Linked DNA regions of Notamacropus eugenii. The protein of the gene in region 2 interacts with the protein of the main gene of each other region in a biochemical or structural test. Links are inferred from orthologs where the notes say so. Each region holds a gene or a part of one and is shown on either strand. Other genes may lie near its edges. The genes, in order: CYLD and MIB2.

The links.
Region 1: of the proteins of MIB2 (region 2) and CYLD, one has a biochemical effect on the other in vitro, tested with the Homo sapiens proteins (2 studies listed by BioGRID, with this or other methods). The link is inferred for Notamacropus eugenii from reciprocal best matches to the Homo sapiens genes MIB2 and CYLD.

The regions. Positions count from the first base shown.
Region 1 is NC_092872.1:465,959,864-465,975,488, reverse strand, and holds the start of CYLD (ubiquitin carboxyl-terminal hydrolase CYLD), read right to left. Parts: upstream 8,113-15,625; 5' UTR 7,955-8,112; intron 7,105-7,954; 5' UTR 7,026-7,104; intron 1-7,025. UniProt on the Homo sapiens protein: Deubiquitinase that specifically cleaves 'Lys-63'- and linear 'Met-1'-linked polyubiquitin chains and is involved in NF-kappa-B activation and TNF-alpha-induced necroptosis.
Region 2 is NC_092876.1:35,303,491-35,319,010, forward strand, and holds the start of MIB2 (E3 ubiquitin-protein ligase MIB2), read left to right. Parts: upstream 1-8,957; 5' UTR 8,958-9,085; intron 9,086-10,335; exon of another isoform or gene 10,336-10,365; intron 10,366-11,531; exon of another isoform or gene 11,532-11,598; intron 11,599-15,221; 5' UTR 15,222-15,316; intron 15,317-15,520. UniProt on the Homo sapiens protein: E3 ubiquitin-protein ligase that mediates ubiquitination of Delta receptors, which act as ligands of Notch proteins.

The DNA.
Region 1 (15,625 bases), on a different chromosome or scaffold from region 2:
ACAAAAAGAATGTAAGCTCCCTGTGAGAAGAGACATTTTTGTTTTTGTGTTCCCAGCAGCAAGGATCTTAATAAATGTTTGTCAAGTTAAACTGACGCATCAATTATCAATGGAAAAGACCTGTGAAAACACTAGTTATTTGACTCTGCTGATAGATTCTAACTAAGCAGGGATTTACTATATGTGGGTGAGTCATAATACTTAAGTTCAGAGGAACAAATATTCACCTTATCTGGGGAATACAATACAGGCAAAAAATATTTTATATACTAAATACCAATGAAAACTCAGCAAGTTCTAAACCATATCAAACAACAAAATTAACAGCATCAATTAGCTGAATCATTATATGTACATATTATGAAAGTGTCGCTATCTAGTTTATCTAGAAGATATAATGTCATTTTGAGTCTCAGGTTATCAACATATACTATTCATAAGAATCTCATTGAGGAAACAAAGTCAGTATTGAAATTCAAGAACTTTGTGCTTCTCCTGAGGTATACTAGTTCTTAAAAGCACTACAGGCTATCCATTCTTTATTAGATTTCAGAATCAATACACACTGTACTAAATTACTATTCCTGATTATGACCAAGCATAAAGTAAAGCCAACGAAATCTCTTTCAAAGTTCTTTTATATAAAACAAACGACCATCACTTTAAGAAAGAATCTTTCTCTCTAAAAGAAGAAACTTCTATATTCTTAAGCGAGCTAAAATTTTTACATTTCATGATTGGGGAGAAAACCTTCATGCTGTTTAAAACTTCACCCTAACCTATGTACTGACACAAGCACATATGGAAATATCAAAACACAAATGTTGTAAGCAATCCTCATATGTGAAAATCTATAGTTACAAAAAAACTTAAATTAGGGAATTTTTGTTTTTTATAAAATAAAACAAAAAAAGAGCTTTCTATATATATAGCAAGATTTCTCAACACAATTAAAATGGAAATTGTTTTACATGTAACTTTACAGGGAGGTCTATATTGCAAAAAGCAAAATGTGCCTGTAATATGATCCTTTAAATCATCTTCCTTTTACTACATACTAAGCAGTTCCCATCGTCCTTAAATGTTCTCTCCCATTTCTCTTCCTAAAAAGGGTATAAATTGTTGTCAACCTCATGATTCTATGATAGCAATGTGATCAACATGATTCAACTAAACTCTACATGTAAACACAAAAATATCCGGTCAAACCCTTTCTATTCCCAACTATATACTTCCCCCCCCCCCCAAAAAAATGTAAAGAATATTAGAAACTAGCCCTGTTTCCAGATCACAGAGGAAGGTTAAGTACTAGACACACTGCCACTAAATGGGTTTCCTTTATCTCCAATGCTATGACTGAAAGCAAATATTGGTTCCTCTCCAAAATACTTTGGTGGCTGATAAAAAAGGTTTTTTTATTATATTGTATCCCAATAAGTCATGTTAATGGGACTTAGTTTTTTTCCAAATTCATAAAAATTCTTGGAATATTGCTCACAAACAATTTATACCTCAAGTGTAATGTCACATATTTACTATCTCATAAATGACTGAAAGACAAAAAAATTCCATTGAATTTATTTATTGACTATGAAAAAACATTTGATTAGGAAGAACAAAACACTGCCTTGCGGGCCTTTTTAAAAGATGCCTCTCATCTCTATGCTGGAATCATTCCTTGGAAGGTAACAGATTTTCTGGAAAGTGACAGAAATAACCCAGTTCAATGACCTTCTGAAAATAAACTTCAGGTGAGATATAAACAAGGAAATGTATGCTCACCAAAATTATTCATCACTGTGATGAGGGAGATCAGTGAAAGAGTTCAGATCAAAATCTCCGAGAGGAAGGTGAGGTTCTCAGATAAAGATGGCACTGTGTTAATTACATCAAGTATAAAGATAGTGAAAATCTCCAGGAAGAACTCTGTAATCACTCAAAGGAGACTGGCCTGACCATCTACAGAACCGACCAAATAGATAAAGACTTCCCACTGCTTTGGCTTCAACATGTATCTATTAAATGGGCACCTACAGAGCTTTTCCAATAGTATATATAATTAGGAAAAGAAGTACAGATGGCCAATGAACTGTGCCCAGAGTTGAAGAGAACAGAATAGGCTGGATTTGCTTTCAAGATTACACACTTTTGTAAGCTTAATACCAGATCTATTCAATTATAGATTATTGATAGAGGAACATCCGAGGTTAAGTCTAAAATTAAGCTATTAGGCTTAGGACTTTAGACCAACAACAATAAGTTAGGGTCCTTTAATTCTTAGTAATACTGTGGAGACAATTAGGTCAAGAGCTTGTGAAGTTAGCAACATAAATATTATTTGTGTCTCAGCTGGTTAATGTTTAAAAAAAAATTCTTTTGTGCTCCATATTGTTTAAAAAGAAGTATCACCTGACCAAAGTTTGAATTGTTTTATCTGTTATAAACTGTGTTAAAAATGAAAATTAAAAATTTAAAAAAAAAAAAGATTACACACTTTTACTGACTACAAGTTTCCTGTAACAGCAAAGGCCTGACTTTTCAATACAAACATTTAATCAGTGTGTCTGTACAGTGTAATGAGACTTGTGTTGAAGAAAAAAATTATTAATACTGTATGCTGGGGTCTAGACAAATCTACCAGAAATAATTTTTCTTAATTTTACATTACTCTATTATCCAAGTCATTTATGGCAGAGAAACACAGAAACAGAGAGAGAGAGAGAAAGAGAAAGATAAATTGGCATAGTTTCCCACTGCCTTCTGACAGGACTCTCTCATCCAAGATGACTTGAGGCAACATTTATAGCAATCTTGAACAAGACAAAGATCATATGTAAAAATAGTTTTGTGTTAGCATTCCAAAACAAATGAATAATAAAATTACCATTCAGTTACTTAGTTGATTACTCCTAGAACATACAAATAGATCTCCTTCTTTCAGTGCTTCATTTTCTTGTTTCTCACTCTTTTTAACTTCTGCAGTCCAGCTTCTAACTTTATCATTCCACTGAAACTGCTCTCTTCAGTTACCAAGTATCTCTTAATGGTCAAATCTCAATGGTTGTTTCTCAATTCTCACTCTTCTTGACTTCTCTGCAGCCTCTAACACTGTTCATCACTCTGTTCGTGATACTCTCTTTCCTATAAATTTCCTGACGCTGCTCTCTCCTGGTTCGTCTACCTGTCTGACCACTCTTCAGTCTCCTTTGCAGGATTTTCATCCAGGTCAAGCTCCTAAACTGTGGTTGTCTCCCACGCCTCCTTCTTGGGCCCTCTTCATTGCTTGGTGATCAGATCATCTGCTCCCAGGAATTCAATTACATTATCTATTTGTCTCTGTCTGTCTTCTTCTCTCTCCACGTAAGGACACATATTTACATATACGTGCGTGTGTGTGTGTGTGTGTGTGTATGATTCTTAGATCTAGTTATTCATCTCTACCCTCTCTCTTGACTTCTATCCTCCCATCTCTTGGGATATCCAATAGATCTCTTCAATTCTGCACATCCAAATCTTTCCCCTAAAACTCTCCCCTCTTCCCAACTTTCCTATTATTGTTGAAGGTGCCCTCATTCTTCCAGTTATGTAGATTCACAACCAAAGTATTTTCCCCAACTTCTCACTCTCTTTCACCTCCCATATCTGATCTGTTGCCCAGTACTGTTGATTGTACCTCTGCAATCTCTCTTGTACATGCTCCATACTCTCTGCTGACAATGCCACAACCCTGGTGGCAAACCTTCATCACTTCAAGCCTAGACTACTTTCAATAGTCTGTGATTACTCTCTCTGCCTCAAGTCTCTCCCCATTCGAGTCCATCTTCCATTCAGCTATCAAAGAGATCTTCCTAAAGAAAAGGTCTGACTATGTCACACCCCCATTCAATCAACTCCTGTGGTTCCTTATTAACTTGAGTATCAAATATAAAATTTTTTGTTTGGCTTTTAAAGTCCCTCATAATATGACTCCCTCTTACCCTTCCAGTCTTCTTGCATTTTATTCCCAATCTCCTTCAACAAACACTCCCCCACCACCACAGACACACAGTGATTCAGTGACACTGGTCTCCTTACTATTTCTCACACTAAACACTCCAGCTTTGGGCATTTTCAGAGGCTTTCCCTCATGCCAGGAACTCATTTCCTTCTCATCTCTGCCTCCTAGCTTCCCTGGCTTCAGTCTCAGCTAAAATCCCTCCTTTTGCAAGAAGCTCTTTTCAATCCTGCTTAACACTAGCGTTCATCCCCTGATGATTATCTCCAATTTATCCTTTGTACATAGTTGTTTTCATGTTAGACTGTGAGCTCCTTGAAAGCAAAAACTGTTTTTCTCTTTGTTTCCCCAATGCGTAGCACAGTGCCTGGCAAATAATAGGCGATCACTAAATGCTTGTTTACCAGACAATCTTTTCTCAAAGGAGAAACGTAGATCAAAGCATCAGTCCCTTCAAGGGATGGGTAAAGAGAATACTGCCCTTAGATTGGTCAAACACTACAGGTGGGTGGGAAGGCAATGATCTAACAAGAGATACTCTGTATTCAATTATTTGACTACCACACTAAGAAAGCTTATTATCCATCCTTCTGGCCTGCCTCCAAACAGAAGTTTGGAAAGGGTTTAGACCAAAGAAATTTTATTTCTCAATATTCCTAGAGAATCCTAAAAAGCATTTAATTATGCTTCCAAATGTGGAACACCACTGCATAACAAGAACTATAGATGGGCATTACATAGAAAGCAACGAAAAAGCCCGTGATAAGGATGAGCAGGTTGTAATGTAGAACCGAGGAGGAATTCTTTAGAAGAATATCAGTAAAGGATATCATCCAATAATTATACTACAGAAAGAGAAGATGGGCTGGTCATGTCTCAAGAAAAAATTTTCCACTGGTACTCATAATGTCAGGAAAAGGCCTACAGCATGTTCAGCAGTCCTCCTTAGTGAACTTTTGAGAACATGGATGAGTATTACAGAGGATGGATGGGTATGGAATTGATTTTGAATTACTTCATTAAAGGGAATTTCTGAATCGATATCACAGATTCATTTGAGTATAATGTCTAATGATTTCAGTGGTTTTGTACATCAAAATTAGTTATATTTGATAGCAATAAAAACGTGAAGAGTGAAGTCATCATTCTAATTACTGTTCTACTAATGTTACACATTTTATTACTGTGTAAGGAAGAAGCAATATTATTTTACTTGTCATATATTAGAGGGGAAAAATGTAATGTTGACATCCATGTTAAAGTGATTTTTCAGGATCATTTCATTTAATCCTTTTATAGCACAGATTGTGTGCCAATATCAAAAATCCAAACGACTCAGAATACAGTATAAATCAGAAAAAATGGTAACATTAATCAAGTGATGGATAGGATAATAACTTCATACTCCCTTCTTCACTCTCATCTTTCTTGTCAACAAATGTAAGTCCAGTCTTGACATATAAAATCACTGAAATCATTAGACATTATAATTTTTTTAAAAGAAAGCATGATGCACGTTATCAGACTTCTTAAAATGTATTTAACAATTGTGATTTTTTTTCCTCTCTAAAAAATACTACTATTTGTTATACGAAATGGTCCTCTGGGAGGGGAAGTAGGATATGAAACAGAAGACACCAATAAAACCTTATTTTTTTAAAAAACATGAAAGAAAACATGAGCCTTGGTCTTACCAAATCTTATAAGAGCTACCACCAAAGGGAATGTGTTATTTGCTGGGATTTTCCAGGATTTTGCAACAGAACATAAGTGTTATGGGTTTCAATAAGTTCTCCAAGACCATTTTCTCCTGATAATGTACTAGTGCAAATCCACCCACTATATACTGAAGAACAGCAGGCTAATACTCAGAGCCATTACTTCTACCTAGGGTGTGAGGGGGTGCAGAAAAGTAACACTAGAACAAATTCCCTCTCTCAGTCCCTGAAACACATTAAGGACTTCTTCTTTCCCCCCTAGAAACCACAGCCTAAAAAATTAACAATCGTATTATATCACAGACTTTTCAGTCAAAAAGCAAGGTAATGAGTTTATTTTTAGCTGAACTTGGGGGAAAGGGAACTAGGATAAGAACAATCAACTATCTTAAAAATGCAAAAGCAACAAGAGTTGTACACATGTACAAAGAACATGTCGTATATCAAACACTCATGAGCAACATTCTCTGGAATGCAAATTCAAAATTCTTATTTCCATCCTCCACATCACTGCCATATTAATATCCTAAAGGTCAGGTCTGGCCATGTCACTCTTCTAACCAAGAAACTTTAGTGACTCCCCACTACCTTTAGGATAAAACACAAACTCCTCTGTTTGCCATTTAAAGACCTTTACAATCTGGCTCTAGCCTACTTTTCCAAGCTAATCACATTATTTTCCCTTTTATTCATTCTACATTCTAGCAAAACAGACCTAGATTTCATCTCCTACCTCTGTGTCTTTATACATGCTACCCCTCATGCCTGAAAGGCCCTCTCTCCTGTGTCTCTCAGAACCTGCTAGCTCCTTCAGTTCATTTCTCCCCAGGCTGCAAATCTAGACTCCAACTTGCTTCCAAGTCAGGTACCTTCCTTTGCACCACTCCCTTTTTCAGCTTCCTTTTATGTATTGTCCTTACCCATCAGGATGCGGTTTTTTTTAGTCTACTCCTAGAAGGGACTGTCTTTCTTTTTGCTTGAATCTCTACTCCCAGTGCTTAGCACATTGCCTGACACATAATAAGCATTTTATAAATGCTTACTGACTGACTCCTTTCAGTGTCACCTCCTTCAAGGTCACCTTATTCCCCCCTCATTTTATATTTACCCTATATTTACTTATCTGTACACATACTAAATACCCCTAATAGCAGGCCCTCCTTGAGATATGAGACTGTCTCACTTTTTGAAAGACTTTGTATCCCCAGTACCTAGAATATAGATAGTAGATGTGTAATAAATTGTACTGATCAATTTGGATCCATATATGTTAACCACCAGACCATTTACTATTAAAGGAAAAAGAGAGATACCTTCTGTCCACAGAGAATTTTTCAACTAAAGAACTCCAAGTGGTTGTGTAACAGCATCCTCAGCCTGAGGATGGGCAAACTGAAACAGAAAGGAGAATAAATCAGCAAGAGCAGCAGTAGGGTGGGTACTCCTCTCCTTCCCTGGGCCTCAGCTACCTCATTTGTAAAGGGATCACGACCAAGAGTTCTTAACCTTTATTTGTCATAGACCCCCTTTGGCAGTCTGGTGAACCCTACAGAAACCCTTATCAGAATAAGGTTTTATTGTCTACTTTCATAATTTCAGTTAGGTTAGTGAAACCCAAGGTGTCATTTTTTTCCCCATTCAAATTCACGGATTCCCTGAAATCTGTCCTTGGACCTCTTCAGGGTTGGTGAACCCCAAGTTTGGGGATCCTTGGTCTGACGTGTGGTCTCTTCCAGCTCTAAATCCTACGAACATCTAATCCTCAGTGCTCTTCCCACCAGCCCCTATCTCCCCTTGTCCCACCGGAGGGAGTTAAGCAGTACTTCGAGCCCATCTACAAGTCTCTGGGTCCCGAAGGTGGACGCTGGCTCCATGGCAGCCCGGTGCCTCAGTTTACCGCCCCCTCCCCTAAGGGGGAGGAGCTCCTATTTACGACAGTCCCCGGGAGGGGGGGCACCACCGCCCCAGGCACCGGACGAGCCGCGGCCGTTAGTCGGAGTTGAGGATCCCTCTCCGGCGGAGGCCGGGACCGGCAGGCCTCGCTGGGAGCGGCGTGAGTCCGCGGGGTCGGAGAGTGACGTCGGCGGGGCCGGCGAGGCCCAGGTAACGGGCCGGGACGGGGAGCACTGACTTGGCAGGCGGCGGGGCCGGGGGCGTCGGAGGAGTGAGGGGAAGGCGCCCGACGAGTCTTGCCTCCCCAACCCCGGCCCACAGGCGCCAGCGCCGCCCGCCATTCGCTCACCTGAACGGGTCCGACCGGGCTGAAGCCCGGCTCCCAATCCTGCGGCCCCCGACTCCGGAGACCAAAAGTCGTCGCCACCACAGCCGACTATTTATCTCGGGGAGACGCGCGGCCCCGCGCAACCGAACCCGATACCTGGGCCCGCCCCCGCCTGCCCCGCCTCCAAGCCGGAGAAAAGGAAGGGAGGGAGTGGTAGTGGGTGGGGAGAAGTGGCATGAGAGCCAATCGGAACCCGAACGGCGTTCCAGCGCGCGCCAGGATTGGTCCTTCTTGTGACGGCCTTTCCGCCAATGCCTGCTGGGCCAGCTCGGTACTAAGGGACTTTCCGCTCCGTCAAGCTCGGTGGAGCCAAAGTGGGGGTGGGGGAGGGCTAAGAGAGGAAGAGGCGAGAGGGGGCGGGGACGGGGAGAGTGGCGTAGCGCTCTCTGATTGACTGTCTGGCTGCAAGCCTACAGCCATGATTGGCTGTGTGAAAGGAGGGGGTGGAGCATTACCGGTCCCAGTCCCTCTGGGCCTCAGCTGTCAAAACGCTTTACTGAACTGGGTAGGGCAGGGTCCACGGTCCTTGGGAGCTAATAAGCTTTGGGAGAGGCCAGGGCTCACGCCCTAGCTTGAGCTGGGAGTCCGGACTCCTGGGAGGCAGCCCGGAGTCCCGAAAAACCACTCTGTCCTTAACCCTGAACCATCGAGTTTCCCAGTCCCTCTGAGCCCTGTGCCTCAGTTTCCCCTTCTGGAAGGGGCTTCCTATCCCAGCAGTCACCCACTAGTCCTTGGGAGGTGGGGTCCAATTTAGGGCACTGAGGAGGATAAGGTATTGTCACACATTTAATTCATCCTTCCTGGCCAACAGCCAGGGCTTATGGTTTAGTTAAGGATCTTTCAATTAGAAGAGACGTTTTTGATTCCCACGTGAGCTCAAAAATATTTAAGGAAGTGATTTTTTAACTTAGTAGTGAAGGCTCTCAGGACACTGGATTCTTGTTAATTAATTCTTTCTCTAACAAATTAAGTACCAATTATGAAAGAGGATGAATAATACTCAAAGGAGGGATGTGGGAGGGGAAAGGTCTTAATCATGACATAAATTCTCCCTGTGGAAAAATTCTCCCACTTACTCCTAAGGGTCTGTGGGATTCATCCTGAGAGGTAAAAGCACAAAGGGGTGTCACTGTGCCAATAACTAATTACTCTCAGAATGGCTATCATGTACTACAGTCCTCCCCAGTACGTCATCCGGGGCGCAGAAGGGATGCCATTGTGAGACCCACGCTGGAAGCTTTTCTAATTTCATATTATCTGTTGGCATTTGTGCCCCCTTGGCATAGACTTCAAGAACCTGCTGTCACAGACCTTCATGACCCCTTTAGGGATCAATTCAAGACTCATCTTTAAACAGTTACTCCAATTCCCAAAGTGCTCTGGTATTCTCTAATTGTTTTATTGATGATAGAATTTCCCTAACAAGATCAGCTCCTCTAACAGCAGAAGGCTGTATCTTCTACTTATGTATTCTTTTCACAGTGCCTAGCACAGAGCTAGGTATATGGTAGAGGATCTTCTGCTTTCATGAAACATGCTCCACAGCTACTCATTTTAATGTATATGACCATTCAGCTTCCCATTGCTATACCTGGGAAACTCAAGAATATTTAGCTATGCCATTTAATCCCAGCAAAGAATGAGTAACAGAAAACTATGGGCAATCCTCCAAGAGGAAATTGTTAAATGCATGATTCCAAATTTTTTGTCTATTCTCAGCTCCCTAAAAAGATGTAAGATCCCTGTGTCTTTTTTTTTTCCTGTGCAGAATCTATTGAATTTAAGAGACTGATACCTAATGATAACAATACTGAGAATCTTCATTTTCATTCAGAAAAGGCAAGAGAGGTTTTGGGGTTTATTTCTGGAATGAGAATCTGTGCCATTTTCATTTAACATTTGACAACCAGGATTTTGTGAATGAGAAAAGGTCTCATATGAGCTCTTTTTCCACAAGAATTTATAAGTATTAACAGAAACCTTTCTGGACTGTGTAAACCTCTCTTCATTTCCCACCTGGCTACACTCATTTTACACTTCTTTGACTTCCCTACTATGCCCCCCAGTAAACTCATTGGGAAATCTCATCATCTTGTCAGATACAAATCAACCTTGACACCCACATCTCACCAGTACCCACTGCCCTTCCATTGGAGGGGACACAGGAGAGAAATATCCTGACATCTCATTTCCTATCCAGCTGTACTCATGTTGGACTTCTTTGACTTCTCTGACTGCACTCATTTTGGATTTGATTTCTCTACCATTCCCATGCCCGGTACATTAACCCCCATTCAGCATTGTCTTCCCCTGTTAGATTAGGGAAGGAACTATCTTTTTCCTACTTGTATGCCCAGAACTTTAGCACAGTGTCAAGCATATAATAATTTCTTAATAATTATTGACTGATTGACTATTCTTTCCAAATGCCCACTCACCCTTAGGAGAACCCTCAACTCTACTCCTTCTTTGGAGGATATTAAAAGCAGTAACCACAGAGAGATTAATCCGCCCAATCTTGTACATAGGCCTTAGAATGCTTTTGGGGAATCCCTGCTGGACTTTGAAACTTGGTTTTCAGCTATGACTTTCCCATGCTGAATAATTTCAAATCAAGCTACTTTAGAAGATTACTCTTATCTATGAAGAATTAATGATTGCTGTAAAAAGTCCTGTGCTCCTCACACACACACACACACACACACACACGCACACACACACACACACACACACACTCCAATCTGCTAACTTCATTTATAGTTTATAATCTCATGTAGATTCTTGCCTCAAAGAGAACAAGGCTATAGAACAAAAACAAAAGCTTTGTCATCAAAAGGTTACAAAACAGGGTGGAGTCAAGATGGCAGAGTAAGAGGAAGTATTTTTGCTAGTTCATCCAGATACCTCCACAACCTTCTAGAAGAGGATCAAACTGAATTCCAGGCCACAAGGCCATTAAAAAAAAAAATTCCAGTGAGTCATTTTTCCAGCCCAGTGATGCTGAGGGAAACAAAGAGGTATGCAGATACTGAGGCCAAGGCTGGCCATGAGTGGGTCCTGGCCAATAGAAATTGATCAGTGATCAGTGGAACAGAGCAGGCATATGATATACAGAAGCAAATGAGCACAGTAATCTAGTGTTTCATAAACCTGAATGCCCAACATTGAAGCAAGAATTCATTATTCAACAGAAACTATTAGAAAAGCTGGAAATTAATCTGGCAGAAACTAGGCATAGACCAACCTCTCATACCATATCAAGATAAGCTGAAAATAGGTAGATAATTTAGACATAAAGGGTGACATGGTAAGCAAGTTAGTGGATCATGGAAGAAATTACCTGTCAAATCTATGGACAGGGTGATGCTTTGGTCATGTTAATGACCAAACAAGAGAAAGAAGTGGCAAAAGAGATCAATTTGATTACATAAAATTTAAAAGTTTTTCCACAAACCCAATCCAACTAAAATTAGAGGCAGGAAATTGGGGAGTGGGGGAAGGGGTGGGAAATATTTGCAGCAAATTTCTGTAAGACAGATACACACTAGCACACAGGAGGGCCACTAGCACAGGTTCATTTTTGATCTGGTCAGACATATAAAGACACTAAGAAAGCTTTGAAGGGGTTAATAATCTTACTTTATTCAGGTCTAGTCTCCTCACAAGGTTGCTGATAATGGGAGCACTAACTCCTACAGCATTCTCTAATCACCCTTCTCTCAGGGGCCAGCAAGAAGGGGGGCTGCTACCCCTATGTCTTGATGGGGTCAATTGAGACAGTCACAGCTTGTGCATTTCTCTAAATCTCCTCAAGCCTCAGTGGGGGCCAGTCAAGGCACACATACATCAATCCAGTTTGTGCATTCAACTCTAAGGGTTTCCCATTCACTGACCAGTGCCCACCTGCTTTATAGGGCAACAGACAAAGAAGGCATATTGCCAACAATAGCCTCACAAGTTTACATCACCTCATCCCTATATCTTACTACACAGTCGCAGTGGATGTTAATAATTTAAGTACAAATATTTATATCATTTACCATTATATAACTGTGCAAGTGTGATAGAGGTGTTTTTTGTTGTTGTTATTCTTAGTTCAATCTGTTTTTTAATTTTTTTAAATTAATTTATTTTGTTTTCAGTTTTCTACAATCACTTCCATATATCTTACATTTTTTCCCTCCCTCCCTCCTTCCTCCCTGAGACGGGGTGCAATCTTATATAGGTTCTACACATACATTCTTATTAAACACATTTTCACACTATTCATGTTGCATAAAAGAATTAAAATGAATGGGAGAAACCATGAAAACAAAACAAAACATAACACAAGAGAAAATGATCTGTTTCATTCTGCAATCCAGTTCCACAGTTCTTTCTCTGGATGGGGAAGGGATTTTGCCTTAAGAGTCCATTGGGAATTTTTTAGGTCCTTGCATTGCTGTGAAGGGCTAAGTCTATCAGAAACAGTCCTCCCAAGGTTGTTGCTGTGTACAAAGTTTTTCTGGTTGTTCTCCTTTCACTCAGTATCAGTTCATATAGATCCTTTCAGGTCTCTCTGAAGTCTTCCTGTTCATCATTTCTTATACCACAACTTGTTCAGTCATTCCCCAATTGATGGGCATCCCCTTGATTTCCAGTTCTTGACCAACACAAAGAGGGCTGCGATAAATATTTTTGTACATGTGGGACCCTTTCTCATTTTTATGATCTCTTTGGATACAGTCCTAGAAGCAGTATTGCTGGGTCAAAGGGTATGCACATTTTTGTAGCCCTTTGGGCATAGTTCCAAATTGCTCTCCAGAATGGTTGGATCAGCTCACAGCTCCACCAACAATGAATTAGTGTTCTAACTCTCCCACATCTTCTTCCACATTTATCATCTTCATGTTTTGTCATGTTAGCCAATCTGATAGGTGTGATGTGGTACCTTGTTTTGATTTGTATCTCTCTAATCAATAGTGATTTAGAGCATTTTTTCATATGAATATAGATAGCTTTAATTTCTTCCTCTGAAAATGCCCAGATCCCATACTTTGACCATTTATCAATTGGGGAATGACCAGTATTCTTGTACATTTGATTATTTTAGAAGTGAGGCCTTTATCACAGACACTAGTTGCAAAAATTCTTTCCCAGTTTTCTGCTTCCCTCCTAATCTTGGTTGCATTGGGTTTGTTTGTGCAAATACTTTTCAATTTAATATAATCAAAATTATCCATTTTGCACTTCATAATGTTCTCTATCTCTTGTTTCATCAAAAATTTCTCCATTCTCCATAAATCTGACATATACTATTTCTTGCTCCCCTAATTTGTTTATATTATCAGTCTTTATACCTAGATCATGTATCCATTTGGACTTGATTCTTGTGTATGGTGTCAGGCATTGGTCTGTGACCAGTTTCTACCACACTGTTATCCAGTTTTCTCAGCAATTTTTGTCAAACAATGAGTTCTAATCCCAGAAGCTGGGGTCCTTGACTTTATCAAATAGTAGATTGCTATATCCATTGCCTACTGTGTCTTGAGTACCTAATCTATTCCATTGATCTACCCCTCTATTTCTTAGCCAGTACCAAGTGGTTTGATGATTGCTGCTTTATAATACAATGTGAGATCTGATAGGGCTAGGCCACCTTCCCTAGCATTTCTTTTCATTAGTTCCCTTGATATTCTTGTTCTTCAAGATGAATTTGATATTATTTTTTCTAGCTCTAGAAAATAATTATCTGGTAGTTTGATTGGTATGGCACTGAATAGGTAAATTAATCTAGGTAGGATTGTCATTTTTATTATATTAACTCAGCCTACCCACAAGCACCTGATGTTTTTCCACTTACTTAGATCTGAGTTTATTTGTGCAAAAAGTGTTTTGGAATTGTGTTCATATAGTCCCTGGGTTTGTTTTGGCAGGTAGACTCCCAGATATTTTATAGTGTCTACCTTAGCTTTAAATGGGATTTCTCTTTCTATGTCTTGCTGTTGGACTTTATTAGTAATATATAGAAATGCAGATGATTTATGTGGGTTTATTTTGTAACCTGCAACTTTGCCAAAGTTAATTATTTCAAGTAATTTTTTACTTGATTCTCTGGGATTCTCTAAGTATATCATCTGCACAGAGTGATAACTTAGTTTCTTCTTTGCCTATTCTTATTCCTTCAATTTCTTTTTCTTCTCTTATTGCTACAGCTAACATTTCCAATACCATATTGAATAACAGTGGTGATAATGGATATCCTTGTTTCATCCCTGATCTTACTGAAAATGTATCCAGCTTATCCCCATTACATATAATGCTTGCCGATGGTTTTAAGTAGATACTGCTTTTTATTTTATGGAAAGCTCCATCTATTCCTATGCTTGCCAGTGTTTTCAACAGGAATAGGTGTTGCATTTTGTGAAAGGCTTTTTCTGCATCTAATGAGATAATCATATGGTTTCTGTTAGTTTTGTGGTTGATATTATCAATAATTCTGATAGTTTTCCTAATATTGAACCAGCCCTACATTCCTGGTGTAAATCCTACCTGATCATATTGTATTATTCTCATGATAAGTTCCTGTATTTTTTGGTAATATCTTATTTAAAACTTTTGCATCTATGTTCATTAGAGAAACTGGTCTGTAATTTTCTTTCTCTGTTTTCGTTCTTCCTGTTTTAGGTATTAGAACCATATTTGTATCATAAAAAGAATTTGGTAGGACTCCACCAATTTTCCCAAATAGTCTATATAGTTTTGGAATTAACTGATCTTTAAATGTTTGATAGAATTCACTTGTAAATCCACCTGGCCCTGGAGATTTTTTCCTAGACAGTTCATTTATGGCTTATTCAATTTCTTTTTCTGAGATGGGGTTATTTAAGTATTCACCTTCCTCTTCTGTTAATCTGAGCAATATATATTTTTTAAAATATTCATTCATCTCATTTAGATTGTCAAATTTATGGGTATACAGTTGGGCAAAGTAATTTCTAATTATTGTTTTAATTTCCTTCTCGTTCGAGGTGAGTTCACCCTTTTCATTTTTGATATTTGTAATTTGGTTTTCTTCTTTCTTGATAGAGGTGTTTTGAAGCATAATCATGAGAACTCATACACATCTAATACCTGGGAACAAGAGATTGTTATGGCTATGGATCTTGGGAAACTGAACTCTGAGAAAGAATAACAAAAATCCACTTTACACGCACTAAAATGCACCTTACTTACACTCGTGGAGGTCTCATTTCTAAGATGTAAAGGGTCAGATTCACAACATCACAGCCATTTCTAAATTGCTAAGTAGTCAAAGGATATGAACAGTTTTCAGAGGAAGAAATTCAAGCTACCATATGAAAAAAATGCTCAAAATCACTAATAGGGAAATGCAAATTTAAACTTAGAGTTACCTCCTCATACCCATCAGATTGGCTAAGATAACAAAAATAGAAAATGACATCCTTGAGGGAATATGGGAAAACAGGTACATTAATGTACTGTTGGAAGAACTGGGAACTAATCCAAGAATTCTGGAAAGCAATTTGAAACTGCATCCAAAAATCTATTAAACTATGGATGCCCTTTGACCCTGCAATACCTACTACATCTATGCCCCAAAGAGATCAAAGAGATAAGAAAAAGACCCAA
Region 2 (15,520 bases):
TGTTGTTGGGAGAGTAAGAAATAGTAAGCTGCTCTCTGGGGACCTGACCTACCAGTACTAGCAAGAAATAAAGAAGTAGTGCAGAGGGGATACTATATAACAACAAGAGCAAAATTTAATATTTCAAAAAAGACACACAGCTCAAAATCACTGCTCATCAATGTTTCAGGGAATTTGAGATACAGCCTCAGGATTATCTGGGTAAGTGCATGTGCTCACTGTTATGTGCATAAAGTTACCCTTCGCCTCTGGGAAGGTGGCTATTGATTGTTCTTCATTCTCAGAGAGGACCATGACATCAAGGAGGTGATGCCATGACATGCAAATGAATTGGATTTAAGTGGGGGAGTGCTGTGCAAAGTCACTAGCCTCACTTTCTCCTCCAGAACCATTGGAGTCCAGTGGCAAGATACAGATCAGGATGACTAGAGATGGCCTGGGATACAGTGGGGGACCTTGACATTTTTCAGCTAAGGTTTTAACAATGTCTTGGTTTGACTGAGGCAGTGCCTATTCAGTGATTAAGGCTAGGTAAGAAATGAGGTAAAGAATGGCCTTTCACTTAGTTAAAAAAAATCAGTCTGGGAGGGGAAGACCCTCAGAGTTTCTGGCCAAAACAGAAGAAATGCTATTTGCATTCACTCTGAGCCAACCAGGGCCTGAACAATATTGAGGCTTCGTCTGGGACCTATTTTTGGCCAATAAGTAAGAGCCAGAGTGATCTGGATTTAAGGTATGTCCTTAAGAGAGAAATCTAGCCCATAAATCCCAAGATAACCATGTGAGGTTTCAGTGATCAAAATTTATATCCCTTTGAGCAGAGTCCCCATCAAGTAAGGGTATGATGAATGTTCATAGTTGAACTGAACACATATGCGGGTGATAGGGGTCATCCCATGCAGAATGCTTAATTGCCATTCCTGATTCTGGCTTTCCATGTGGAGTTTGGGTCTTGTTTCTGGCCATATGTGACTGAGCTAAAAAACTCACCCCCAGAGAAGAGGGATTTCCTATGTTGGCTGAGGAGTTGGAAGAGTTCATGACTCAGTAGCTGTTTAAAAGGCAGTGACCCCATACTCAAGGATCTTATCATTTTTTGAAGAGAAATAATTTCTCTGAATTATTTCAGGACCACTGAACTGTTTTTGGACAGGGGTGAGGTGATGGCACTTCTCTTATTTTATTGCTTTATGAACACTATCCTATTAAGAAATTCCTTTCCCATGTTATGGTTGACACACATGGAGACTATAACTTTGGCTGACATAGGAATCCTGAATCAGGAGGGGAAGGGGACCTGCTTTAAGGATATAAAGTCCACTTCAACTATCCTTTCTTTGAGCTCATTTCTCATGAACTCCGATGTATGGACCCAAACATGATGCCACTTTGAGAGAAATAAACAAGCACATGAAGTCTAATTTTGTTGGTTATTCTTAGAATGAACTCTGTAAGGTTGACAGTGCCCATCCAGAAAGGGGGACAGCTGGGGAGAAAGAAGATAGCCACTAACAAACAAGTTAGTTTGCCAAGCCTGGTAGTTTTACCAACAGACATCTACCAGGAATTCTTTGCACAGTGCAGAGCCAAGGTGAAATATAAAATGCGAAATTAGCAATTCTGTAAACTCTTTGTGTTCTGATAAGGTTTTTGCAGCCATAAGTTTGAACCCTGCTCTGAGCTTTTTTTTTTGTCAAATATACACTTCCGTGTGGTTTGCGTTTAGTATTCTTTTTGTCTCTAGGAAATAAGTATCTATTCAATACCTGTATAATGAATATCTTTCTACTTCCCTCCTTTAGGGATCCTGAGCCATAGCTATAAATAATTCCCTCCCCTCCCCTAGTGCTGGGAGCCAGGGGTTTAATGGGCCAAATGGTATGAGAAAAGAGAGACCAAACTTCTCCTTAGAGGACTTAGAGAACTCTGAAGACTGGGGTCAAACCCTGCCTCTGATGCACTAGCTGTATCACCTTGGGCAAGTCTTTTTTAACTTCTCTGTGTCCCAGAAAACTCTTCTGTAAGTTCCAGAAGAGCTGGTGAAGTGCATTTGGCTTGTTGGTGGGAGTTTCTGAAACAAGAAACTTCCCACATCAATGAAATCACATATCAATCCATCAGTCAAACATTGACTCAGCTCCAGATTGAATGAACTGTGATCTTAGGCAGTATGAAGCATGCTTCAGTTCTGACATGTTCTCTTTTATGCTGGCCCAAGTGGGAAATGATTGTGCAGAGGAGAAAATCAGCATTGGGTTTCCAAATTTGGATTATTTTCTTATAACTGAAGATTCTCTAAATCAAACGGAAGGGTTGAAGAGTATAACATTCCCGAGTCTGGTAAAGGATTGTACTCTGAAAGAGGGAACGGTGCCTTGGAAAACTTATAGGTTTGTAAATTTCAAGTTCCTCATTCCTGCATAATCTAGCTTGAGTGCTAGATAAATCGTCCCCAAATAAATAAGGGATAATAGGAGCGCATCTATCTACTCTTGTTTAGTTTAACTTCCAAATGAAGTTAATGAAGAAATAAAGAATTGACAGATATGATTGCTGAGGCAACACTGAGGTAGGAGTGTTAGGGCTGGAGTCAGGAAGACCCAAATTCAAACCTTACCTCAGATACTTATTAATTGTATGATCCTAAGCAAGTCAACCTTTCCCTGTCTTGGTTTCCTCAACTATAAAATAGGGATGATAACAGCCTCGTCTAGGTTTTTGGGAGGATAAAATTAGATATGTAAAGTGACTAGCACAATGCCTGGCACATAGTAGTAGGTGCTTATCTCATAATTAAGATTTACATTGGTCCCTGGCAAAATTCCAAAGTTATCAAGTGGGTGGTCAGGGAACACTTAGAAAAGAGATCAGTGATCCCAAAGAACCATCATGGCTTCATTTAAAAAAGAGAGGGTAGCAGCATTTCCATTGTTGGTGGAGTTGTGAACTATCCAACCCTTCTAGAGAGAAATTTGGAACTATGCCCAAAGGGCTATAAAACTGTTCATACCTTTTGATCCAGCAATACTATATCTAGGGCTGTATTCCAAAGAGATAATAAAAGTGGGAAAAGGACCCAAATGTACAAAAGCATTTATAGCAGCTTTTTTTGTAGCGGTAAAGAATTGGAAATTGAAGGGATGTCCATCAATTGGGGAACGGCTGAACAAGTTGTGGTATGTGATTGTGATGGAATATTATTGTGCTATAAGAAATGATGAACAAGCAGAGTTCAGAAAAACCTGGAAAGACTTACATGAACTGATGCTGAGTGAAGTGATCAAAGCCAGGAGAACATTGTACATAGTAACAACCACAGTGTGCAAGGACTGACTTTGATAGACTTAACCCTTCTTAGCAATGCAAGGTTCTAAGACAACTCCAAAAGACTAATGATGGAAAACGCTAAACATATCCAGAGGAAGAACTTTGGAGTCTGAACGCAGATCAAAGTAGGCTATTTGCTATCTCTTTTTTGTTGTTTCTTCTTTCTTGAGGTTTCTACCATTGGTTCTAATTCTTCATTACAACATGACTAATGTGAAAATATGCTTAATATAAATGTGTATGTAGAGCCTATATCAGATTGCATACCACCTTGGGGAGGAAGGGGGAGAAAATTTGAAACTCAAAATCTTATAAAAGTGAATTTTGAAAACTAAAAATAAATCAATAAACTTTTTTTAAAAAGAGTTGCAGCATTTCCTCCTTTTCTTGGCAGGGTTTACTAGGCCGGTAAGGGAAATGCTAGAGTTATAGTTTTATCTGGATTCAACAAAGAGCTTGACAGAGTCACTCAGACTTCTCCTCGTAACAATTGTTAACATTCACATAGCACTTTAAGGTTTGAAAAGTGCTTTACAAATATCTCATTTTATCCTCAAAACAATCTTGGCAGGTAGGTGCTACTATTGTCCCGATTTGGGTGACTGGGGAAACTGAGGCAAAAAGCTGTTAAGTGAGAGTCACACAATTAGGTGTCACAGTGGGTAGAGTGCTAGGTCTGGAGTCAGGAAGACCTTAGTTGAAATCTATCCATAGGTACATATTAGCTGTGTGATCTCGGGCAAGTCACTTACCCTTCCTACAGATTCCTCATCTGTAAAATGGAATAATAGCCTACCTTTCAGGGTTGTTGAGAAGACCAAATGAGAATCATAAGATGATGAGAATCATAAGGTGCTTACCACAGAGGAGGCAATATACAAATAGCAGCTAGTAGTAGTAATAGTAGTAGTAGTAGTAGTAGTAGTAGTAACAGCCACAGCAGCAGTAGCTAGGTGGCACCATAGGGTCAGGCTTAGAGTCAGGAAGACCCATCTTCCTGAGTTCAAATCTGGCCTCAGATACTTACTAGCTGTGTGACCCTGGGCAAATCACTTCACCTTTGCTTGCCTCAGTTTCCTCACCTGTAAAATGAACTGGAGAAAGAAATGGCAAACCACTCCAAATAGGGTCACAGAGAGTCAGAAATGACTGAAAAATAGTCGTAGAAGTTGTAGTAAGAATTTGAAACCCGGTATGAACTCAGGAACAGTTAGGGATTTGCAAATGGTCAAGTTTGCACTTAAAGACCTAAAGAGTACTCATTAATGTAATTCCCCAATTGATAAATGGTCAAAAGATATGAACAGGGAATTTTCAGAGGAAGAAATTAAAGCTATTGATAATCATATGAAAAAATGCTCTAAATCACTATTGATTAGAGAGATGCAAATTAAAAACAACTCTGAGGTACCATATCACACCTATCAGATTGGTTAACATGACAAAACAGGAAGATGATAAATATTGGAGAACATGTGGGAGAGTTGGAACACTAATTCATTGTTGGTGGAGCAGTGAGCTGATCCAACCATTCTGGAGAACACTTTGGAACTATGCCCAAAGGGCCACAAAAATGTGCATACCCTTTGACCCAGCAATATCGCTTCTGGGACTCTATCCCAAAGAGATCATTAAGATGGGAAAAGGTCTCACATATACAAAAATATTTATAGCAGCTCTCTTGGTGGTGGCCAAAAACTGGAAATCAAGGGATACCCATCAATTGGGGAATGGCTGAACAAGTTGTGGTATATGAATGTAATGGAATACTATTGTGCTATAAGACATGATGAACAGGAAGACTTCAGAGAAGCCTGGAAGGACTTATATTAACTGATGCTGAGTGAAAGGAGCAGAACCAAGAGAACTTTGTACACAGCAACAACCACAGTGTGTGAGGAATTTTTCTGGTAGACTTAGTACTTTGAAATACATGGACTTAAAAAAATTTCCAATGGACTTGAGGCAAAATGCCTTCCACATCCAGAGAAAGAACTATGAAATTGGATCGCGGATAGAAACAGACCATTTTCTTTTATATTATGTTTTGTTTTGTTTTATGGTTTCTCCTATTAATTTTAATTCTTCCATGCAACATGCATTTAATGGGAATGTACCTGTGGAACCTATATAAGATTGTATGCTGTCTCAGGGAAGGAGTAGGGAGGGAGGGGGAAATGATGGAGAGAGAGTGGAAAAAAAGTCCAAGATATAGGGAAGTGATCGTCAAACACTGAAAACAAATAAAATAATTCAATTAAAAAAAGCTTCCTCTCAGTCCTCACAATTAATAATCTTTTCTCACAATTAATAATCTTTTCTCTCTTTGGACTAGACCCATAACTGAATTGAAATGGAAGTGAGCTAGCTCCAGAATTGAGTCCCAAGATGGAATCAGTATGGTTCACTCAATTCCCACAATTAACTATTGCTGTCCTAATCTCCTCAATTCCCTCATAAACTTTGTCTATTGCTATAGACCAAATAGGGGGAAAATGTTATCTAGAAGCCAGTTTCTTGGTGATGAACCTTTTCAAACTTAGCTAGACTATCTTTGGGGGACATTCATGTATGCATGTGCACCTAGGCCTATACACAAAATTTTCCAGAATGCTAAGACTTCCAAGAACTTGTTTTATGCTAGCACAATTTTTTTTTTTAAATACCAGGTTCCCCTGATATTCCACAATGAATTATCATCGCAGTTGTATATTATTTAGGGATTTTATTACGCAGATGGCAAAACAGAGATAAAAGACAGAAGGTTAACTTCATGAAGGCAGGAACTTTGTCATATTTTTGTCTATTTCTTTTTTAGATTAAAAGTAGCATTCAAATGCAAATATTATCATGGATTGGTTGTTACAATAACAAACAATAATTTAAAACATCAAATGTCACAAAATCAGTTTCCTACGAGAATTTTTAAATAGTTCATTATGGTCTTTATTATTAATCATATTTGGAGGAACATTATTAATGATTGATAATGTTATTACTCAATGTATTATTTTCTTTCTATTAATGGTTGATGCATGTTTTGCTTATTTTCATGTTATAGGATTTTATAAAATATTTTAAAGGGGAAAAAAAAAAGAATACTCATTCATGGAAGTAGGTCAAGTTGGAGGGAGGTCTCTAGTGGAGTGCCCCAGGGATCTGCGCTTGACTCTGTCCTGTTCAGCATTTTTTAATCAATGATTAAGATGAGTACAGATGAAATGTTTGTGAAATCTGTAGATAACATAAAGAGGGTGTAATGAACATGTCAGATGACAGAGTCAGTATCCAAAAGGATCCTAGCAAGCCAGAACATTGGACCAAATTACAGAAAATTAAATTTAGAATCCACATGATTTCAGTCTTGCTTTTCCAAATTAAATGCCTTAAATAAAAAGGAAACAAACAGCAGGTTCTGATCCCTTCTCTGCACTTTTCTGTCAGTTGCATGACTGCAAAAATTGGGTCTACTATAGAATATCATTTTGCCTTCTACATATTTTCATCATGAACATGTATTCAGATTTTTCACATATGGATTTTATAGAGATGAGAAAGAAGGCATGTGAGTCAGAACTTATTGTTTTCTCAATAATTGTTGGAGGGAGAGGGAAATAAGCTGGTTTGTAACTTCCTAATCATTTGTTTTCTTCCTTTCTTTCATATATCTTGAGAAGTGATCCTTCAATGCCCCTCTAAATTGTGATGTCTCCAGGCTGGACCTCCAAGTAGTCTTGATCTATAGTAGTACAGCCGTCTTGATTTTTTTTAGTGTCCTTTCTATGGTGGCATAGTAGATGGAATACTGGACCTGGAGTCAGGAAGACTCCTCTTTGTGAGTTCAAATCTAGCCTCAGAGACTAACTAGCTGTGTGACCCTGGACAAGTCACTTCACTCTGTTTGCCTCAGTTTACTCATCTGTAAAAATAAGCTGGAGAAGGAAATGACAACCCACACAGTATCTTTGCCAAGAAAATGGTGTCACAAAGAGTTGGTTAGGATTGAAAACGACTAACCAACAATTTACTTTTTCAAGTAGCACTGTGGAAGACTGTGACTTTACAATCCAAAGCATTAATGGAGAAAGTAACTTCTTACAGAAATAGCAGATTTTTAATTTTTTTTTCTCTAATTGTTCTTCTAGTCAGTTAGGAGTCCACATGGCCAAGTTCAGAGAGGCACAGTAGCACATTGGTTACAGGGTGATTAATTCTTCTGGCCACAATAACACTAATGGCTTACATTTATATATAATATTTTAAGGTTTAAGGGTTTACATATATTGATCCTTAGTGAAGAAGGCCCTACACATGATTATCATTTTACTGAGGAGGAAGTGACTTGCCCAAGGTCATACAGTTAGGATTACATATTTAGAGCTAGAAGGGGCCTTAGAGCTCATGAATTCAACTCCCTCATTTTACAGATGAGGAAACTGAGGCCCAGAGAGGTTGGGTGACTCGGTCAAGGTCACGCTGCTAGTTTAAGGGGGTTAGATTTGATTTTAGAGTCATTTGACTCCATGGTCTCCCCCTACTCCCTCTCTGAACCAGTGACATGGGCCTCATCTCCCCAGACTGTGTGTGCATTTTCACTGACTCTGCCTCATGCCTGAAAATCTCACCCCCTACAGGAAGCCTTTTTTTCTCATCCCCCTTAACGCTAGTCAGAGATTATCTCTGCTTCATCCTGTCTACCTGGAGTTTGCACATACGTGCACTTTTGCTTGCTTGGATCATGAACTCCTTGAGATCAGGGACAGGTTTTTTGCCTTTCTTTGTACCTCTAGCACTTGGCACAATGCCTGGCAGCACACAGTAGGCGCTTGCTTGTTGAACCGAGTCATAGGAGGCTACGAGTCCTCATGCTCCTTGAGGCATCACCTATTAAGTCACTTCACCCCAACTGCCTCATCCTGGGCCATCTCCAGTCATCCTGATGAATATCTGGTCGCTGGATTCAGATGGCTCTGGAGGAGAAGTGAGGCTGGTGACCTGCACAGCCCTCCCTCACTCACAACAAAGTCAAGTGCAAGTCATGTCGTCATTTCTCTGGCAGCATGGTCTTCTTCGGCAACGAAGGAGGAACACACACATTCATTATTTCGTGTAGCAGAATGAGCTCTAGAACGCTCCTCAGGGCCTCAGAAGTCCCATCTGTAAAATGGTTACTGTAACTCCTCGCTAGTAGACAATGTTTCATTCTTTGCCTTTGCAGCCTAGCACCAGGTACACAGAGGCGTTAAGAAGGCTTGCAGATTGATGGAAAGGTCTTGGCCATTCCCTGGGGCTCAGGCGCGGCGACTCTTCCTCCTTGCACCGCCAGGGGGCGCCAGGGTGCCGGACTCTGAGCCCCGCCCCCGCCCCCGGCCCCGCCTCCGCGGCGGTCGCCGCGGCCCAGCCTCTAGCCTCGCAGGCAGCAGCGCCCGAGGGGGCCTGGCTCCCGGTTCCCGCGGGGCCTCCTGGGAGTTGTGGTCCAGCTCCCAGCCCCTGGGATTGCGCGCTACTCTAGCGCGCACTACGGCTCCCGGCAGCCCCCGCGGCGGACCCTGAAAACTGAAGCTGCCCGTCGGGGCGGCGCTGGCAGGCGGCTGCGGGCGGGCAGCGACCCCGCTGGCCCTGACCGACGGACGTACGGACGGACGCACGGACCGGCAGAGCTGCTCTGCGACGGAGCCTCGGAGCGAGCCCGGCGGGCGGGCCAACCGCCGAGCCGAGCCGGGCTCCGGGAAGGGCCCCCGCCCGGGACCGAGCACAGGTCAGAGCCTCAGAGCCGCTCCTCCGGCCAGGCGGGCGGGGCGGCCGCGAACCGAAACTTTGGGGCGGGGCGAGGCCAGGGCGGGGGCGGGGCCACGGCGGGGGAAGGGAGCCACCAAGGGAGGGGGAGGGGCGAGCGAGGGGAGGCCGGAGAGGGCTGCGGTAGGGGGCGAGGGAGGGCCGAGGGATTGGGGAGGGGGAGAGACGAGATGGCTACAGTGATGGGGGGAGGGGTCAGAGAGATGGGGGAGGGGGAGAGATATGGGGAGGGGGTCAGAGAGCTGGGGGAGGGGGAGAGTAATGAGGGGAATGGGGAGAGATATGGGGAGGGGGTCAGAGAGCTGGGGGAGGGGGAGAGATGGGGAGGGGGGTCAGAGAGCTGGGGGAGGGGGAGAGTAAGGAGGGGAAGGGGGAGAGATATGGGGAGGGAGTCAGAAAGCTGGGGGAGGGGGAGAGTAAGGAGGGGAAGGGGGAGAGATATGGGGAGGGAGTCAGAAAGCTGGGGGAGGGGGAGAGTAATGAGGGGAATGGGGAGAGATATGGGGAGGGGGGGTCAGAGAGCTGGGGAAGGGGGAGAGATGGGGAGGGGGTCAGAGAGCTGGGGGAGGGGGAGAGTAATGAGGGGAATGGGGAGAGATATGGGGAGGGGGTCAGAGAGCTGGGGGAGGGGGAGAGTAAGGAGGGGAAGGGGGAGAGATATGGGGAGGGAGTCAGAAAGCTGGGGGAGGGGGAGAGTAATGAGGGGGAGGGAGGGAGTAATGAGGGGAAGGGGGAGAGATGGGGAGGGGGTCAGAGAGCTGGGGGAGGGGGAGAGATATGGGGAGGGGGTCAGAGAGCTGGGGGAGGGGGAGAGTAAGGAGGAGAAGGGGGAGAGATATGGGGAGTACAGAGTGAGATGGGGAGGGGAATAAGGGGGACCACAGAGGCATGAGGTATGGGGAAGGGGAAGGAGGGAGGGAGGACCACAGAGATGGCCCAGGGTGAAAGGGGGGATCCACCGGGGCTGGATCTGAAGGGGTGGGTGGAGTAGGGGCAGGGGACCATTGAGGGATGGGCTGGGGAGCAAGGAGAGGAGGCCTGGAATGGGGCTGGGATGGAGCTTCCTCCCCCTGGGGGGTCTGGCTTTGCTGCTTCCAGCAGACCTCTGGGATGTTCAGATTTGGGTCTGAGGTCCCTTCCAAACCAGATTCCAGGATGAGGAGGAGGGTTATGGGGAATGATAGTTCACATTTGCATCAGGCTTTGAGGTTTACAAAGTGTTGGCCTCCTGGTCACTGTGAGGTGGGTCCTAAAGCCTCATTTCCCCATTTTCCCCAATGTGGAAGTGAGGCACAGAAGTTAGTGACTTACCTAGGGTCATACATTTAGAGTCAGGGATGGAAATTGGATCCGGGGCCCTTGACTTGAGTGCTCTCTCAGGGATCACAGAGGGAAGAGGAGCCTGTCGAGGGATTTGGGCAAAGGAAAATGGGGATAGGCCTGTTTGGGAGGGGAGACCAAAAGGAGCCATTTGGAACAGAGGGATCCAGAGCTGTGGAGGAGCTGGAGAGGGAGGGGGCAGCCTTAGCCGCTGGGCCTTCTCTCTGTCCTCACTCTTCTTAATCTCCAACAATTCTCTTAATTTTCCTTTATCTCTTAATCATTTCATGCTACTGAACATTTCCTCCTGCATACAGGATATATCCTGTCTAAATTGTTGTGACACTGTGCTCTCTGTCTTTCTCGTCTGTCTGTCTGTCTGTCTGTCTGTCTGTCTGTCTGTCTCTCTCTCTCTCTCTCTCTCTCTCTCTCAGTCTTTGTCTTGGTGTCTCTCTCAGTCCCTTTGTGTCTTTGTCTCTCTCTCACATTCTCTCATTCTCTCCATCTCTTGGTGTCTGTCTGTCTCTGTCTCTCTGTTTCTCTCTTTCCCTCTGTCTCTCAGTGTCTGTCTGTCTCTCTGTCTCTCTCTTGGTGTTTGTCTTTCTCTTGGTCTCTCTCGGTATCTGTCTCTCTGTCTTTCTGTCTTACCCTCTGTCTCGCTTTCTCTCTGTCTCTCTCTCCCTTTCTCTGTGTCTATCCATCTCTCTCTCTCTTTCAGTTCTGCCTGCCTGCCTTTCTCAGTTTGGTTTGACTGCTCAGGTCTAGGTCATGCCCACTAGCTGTGGGTGTCCCCCTACGCTCTGTTCTGTGTCACTCTACACTATTTCCCCTGGTGATCTTATCAGCTCCCCAGGGTTCAGTTTTTACCTCTGCAGATGACTCCCGATCTCTGTAGCCAGCCCTGGTCTCTCTTCTGAGCTCCCGTCTCTATCACCAACTGCCTCTTGGACATTCTGAACCAAGTGTCTCATTTGTTGTTACTGTTCAGTCATTTTCAGTCGTGTCTGAATCTCCATGATCCCATTTCGGGTTTTCTTGGCAAAGACACTGGAGTGGTTTGCCATTTCCTTCTCCATCTCGTTTTACAGATGAGGAAACTGAGAAAGACAGGATGAAGTGACTTGCCCAGGGTCATCCAGCTTCGAAGTATCTGAGGTCAGATTTGAACCTAGGAATGAGCCTTGTTGACCTGCCAGGGTCTTTATGCACGATGGTGCCCTCTAGCTGCCCATGTAGATGTTCTCTAGGCATCTCAAACTCAATCTTGCCACCCCAGAACTCATTCTTTTTTCCTCCTGAGCCCTTCCATCTTCCTGATTTTCCTGTTAGTGTTGAGGGCATAATCACTTTCCTGGTGGCTCAGGCTCCCAGCCCCCATGGCATCACCCTCTCTCACCTCCCATGGCCAGTCATCACCAAGCCCTGTGGTTCTGCCTTCACAATATCTCCCATAAGCCCCCTCTGCCTTGTGATATTGCAACCAGCCTGGTGCACACACTCACACCTGCTACTGCTAGCAAAGCAGGTCTGACCACATCACACCCCTCCTCAGTCAGCCTCAGTGACCATGCTGTGTCCCCTCCTCTTCCCCTGCCCAGCAAGTGTCACCTGCTTCCTGTTACCTCCAAGGGCAAAATTTAATCCTATTTGGCTTTAAAAGCTTTTCATGACCTGGCCCCTTTCTACACCTTCCTTCCTTCCTTCCACATCCTCTAGGATCTAGTGACTGATCCCCTGGTTGTCCTACCTCCAGGTATTTACCCTGGCTGTGCCCCATGCCTGGGACTCTCTCTCTGCTGTCTTCCTTGGCTTCCTTCAAAGCTCAATATCCTGCCTTCTGCAAGAAACATTTTCTGATTCTCCTTTATCTTAATCTCTCTGAGACTGTCTCCAATTTATCTCATCACATCTCTTGTTTGTACAGAGTGGTTGTCTTGTTGTCTCCTCCCTCAGACCACGAGCTCCTTAAAAGCTGTCTTTTGCCCTTGTTGGTCTCCCTGGTGCCAAGCCCATGGCTGGACACATAGCAGATCACTTCATTTATTCCGCATGACCTCTGCTCCCCCTGCCCTCCTTCAGTGAACTTCAGTGGCTCCCTGTCACCTCTGGGGATCCAATATGGAAACAAACCAGCCAACAACAGTCTCTTCTGTTTGGCTTTTAAGCCCTTCACAACCTTGCCCTTCTCCTGCATTCTCTGATTCAACCACATTGAATGTTCTCGTATGCCCCACTTGATCTCCATGACTTTGCCTTGCCCAGTCACCATGCCTGGAATGCCCTCCTTTGTTCATCTCGGCCTCATCAAATCCCTGCTTCCTCCAAGACTCAGCTTAGCCTCCACCTTCTGCAGGAGGCCTTTCTAACCCTCCTGCCCCCCAGCTACCAGTGCTGCCTTTCCTTCCTCTACTCTGTCTGTATTTTGTATGGACACACGTCATCACAAATACTTGTTGCCTGACTAGGGAGCTGTATCTGTTCCCTGTGCCTCTTGTCCTCTTCCCGTCTGGTTTGGGCTTGGTAAAGCAGTTCCTAGTAGATGCCCCTTCCCCAAAGGCCTGTGGGTCCTCAGTTCTTGATGGGCCATGATTGCTTTGTGTGGAGTATTCTACCCAAGAACGCCCATGCCCCAGGGGAGGAGGGGTAGGACCTACTGGGGCATCTGGAGCACCCTGAGAGCTAAGGAGTGGGACTGCACAGAGCTGGCCCCTCACCCTTATGGAAAAAGGCAGGCCCTGAGCCAGAGCTCTTGGGAGCCAGGGCTACCTGGCAGGTGGGGAAACTACTCTGCTGGGCAGCATGCACACCTGGAACCTTTCCCACTTCAGGCTCTCTGCAAACTTTAGAATCCTTTTCCCAGCCTCATGTGAGGCATTCTGGCCAGTGACTGGCTAAGAGAGTGATGGTGGAAATGAGGGTCAGAGACCCTCTGTGGGACTCTGGCCTAGCCACAGAACAAAGCAGTCCTGGGTTCCAGGCAAGTCAGCATCAACAGGGGCTACAAGCACAGGAGAAGCAGTTCTACCCTCAAGAAACTTGCGCCTTCCCCTCCCCCAATTCCAGATGTGTTATTGACATGAACATTGAAGTCATTTCTGGAAATACCTTCTCACCCTTCCATACTGACCCCTTTTTGGTAGCAGTTAAAAACTCAGTAAAAATGAGCATATCTGAGTCAGTTGGCCAGCATTGATTAAGCACCTCCTATGTGCAGGCCTCTGTGCTAAGCACTGGGGAGGCAAAGGCAGAAGACAGTCCCTGCCCTCAAAGAGCTCACTGTCTAGTGGGGGAAGAGAATGCCAGGAAGGAATCTGGGGGGAGAGGTCCTGATGAAATCCAGAGGAGTCTAGGGAAAGGATAAACTGACTGCCTTGGGCAGCGTTCTATGGGAGACTCTGAGAGGAGCTGTCTGCTGCCCACCTTCCACTCCCTCCATTCTGAGGGAAAGAGGGATTGGCCTAGAAGTGCTCAGAGGGGGACTGTTTAGACCCCCTCTGTTCTCCTAGGGGGTAATGATACAGCTAGTGTATACTGCTGAGCCAGAGGGGGAGCAGGCTGAATCTGTAATTTTGTTGGTATAGGGAAGTATCCAGTGAGTATCTCCCCATGCAGCTCAGCACTGTCTGCATCTTGAGTGCTTGTCAGACTTGTCCAGGGTCTCACAGTCACTTTGGGTCAGACCAAAGGCAGGCGTTCTCTATCCAGCTGCTGCTCCTTACAGATAAGGCAATAGAAAATCTTTGGAGGAGGGAGAGAGCCTGAGAGAATGGGGAGGAAGCCCCTGCCCTGAGCCTTGAAGGACCTAAGCCAGAAGGAAGTGCATTCCCCTCATTCCTGATCTCCCCACTGTGACTGAGCACCCAGTAGTTGTTGTGAGATCTTATCTTCTTGACCGGAATCGAGCCTCTTGCCTTACTGTTCATTCTTGATGTTCCGGCTCATGCTGATAGGGGTTCATGAGAATTGTTCTTGCCCTCTGCATCTGGAGGGTGAGGCTTCCTGTAACGCAACTTTGTCTCGGAAAACCTTCCACAGGAAGGGAATCATTTTAAATAGCCCATTACTTCATCTGGCCCTTCCTTCTAGGGTCAGATGCTTTGGGGAGACCACTTTCTGAGTGTTCTGTGCTCTTGTCCATGTCCAAGATTTTGGCCTCTATTGACTTTTAGCATCCAGTAGAGTCATTCCCCTGATTTAATTTACTTCAAAATTTTGTGTTGGTGTGCAGTCACATCCAACTCCTCATGACCCCATTTGGGGTTTTCTTGGCAAAGCTACCAGAGTGGTTTGCCATTTCCTTCTCCAACTCATTTTACAAATGAGGAAATTGAGGCAAACGGAGTTAAATGACTTGCCAAGGATCACACAGCTTGGTGTCTGAGGCTTGATTTGAACTTGGGAAGATTAAGTCTTCCACTCCAGGGTATGCACCATACACCACCTCCTGGCCTTTGCTTTAAACACACACATTCAATTCTAAAATAATTTATTATAAACACCTGTGTCCCTTGAACTCTTCCCTGGGGTGGTGATGGAGGAGAGTGATTACGACTCTCTTATGGGACCCAGACCTTGCCTCCCAGGAGTTCCCAGTGAAGTTAGAGAAGCCAATGTCAAGTACTGGGACCTGAGAACAGTTTATAAGAGGGAGGGAGAGTAAGTGATTGCTGCTGGCCATTGAGCCTTGGGTGTGTACCCAGCAGCAGCTCTGACTTTCCTGCTCCTCAGTTGGACTGATCCCTGGCTGTCTTTGTTTGCATTGGCTGCCGATCCCTTAGGAAGGCTTGTATGCTGACCTGCCTGGTGAGCCTAGAAGCAGAAGGAAGCCCTGGGGGTAGAATCCTGAGGAGAAGTTGCATTGAATGAAGTTAAGGTAAGTCCTGCTTACCTGTGTGCCTCACCAAGCTACTGTTCCTTTCTCCCCCACTCCCCACCCTGGAAGTTGTGACTTTGAGTCCAGAATGGCCAGGAGCAGAGCGTTCCAGATGGCTACTTCTGTGAACCATTAGCTGCTGGGCATCATGATAACTCAAAGCATCTGTGATGATTAAAAAAAAAAAGCTTGGTGATTTATTTG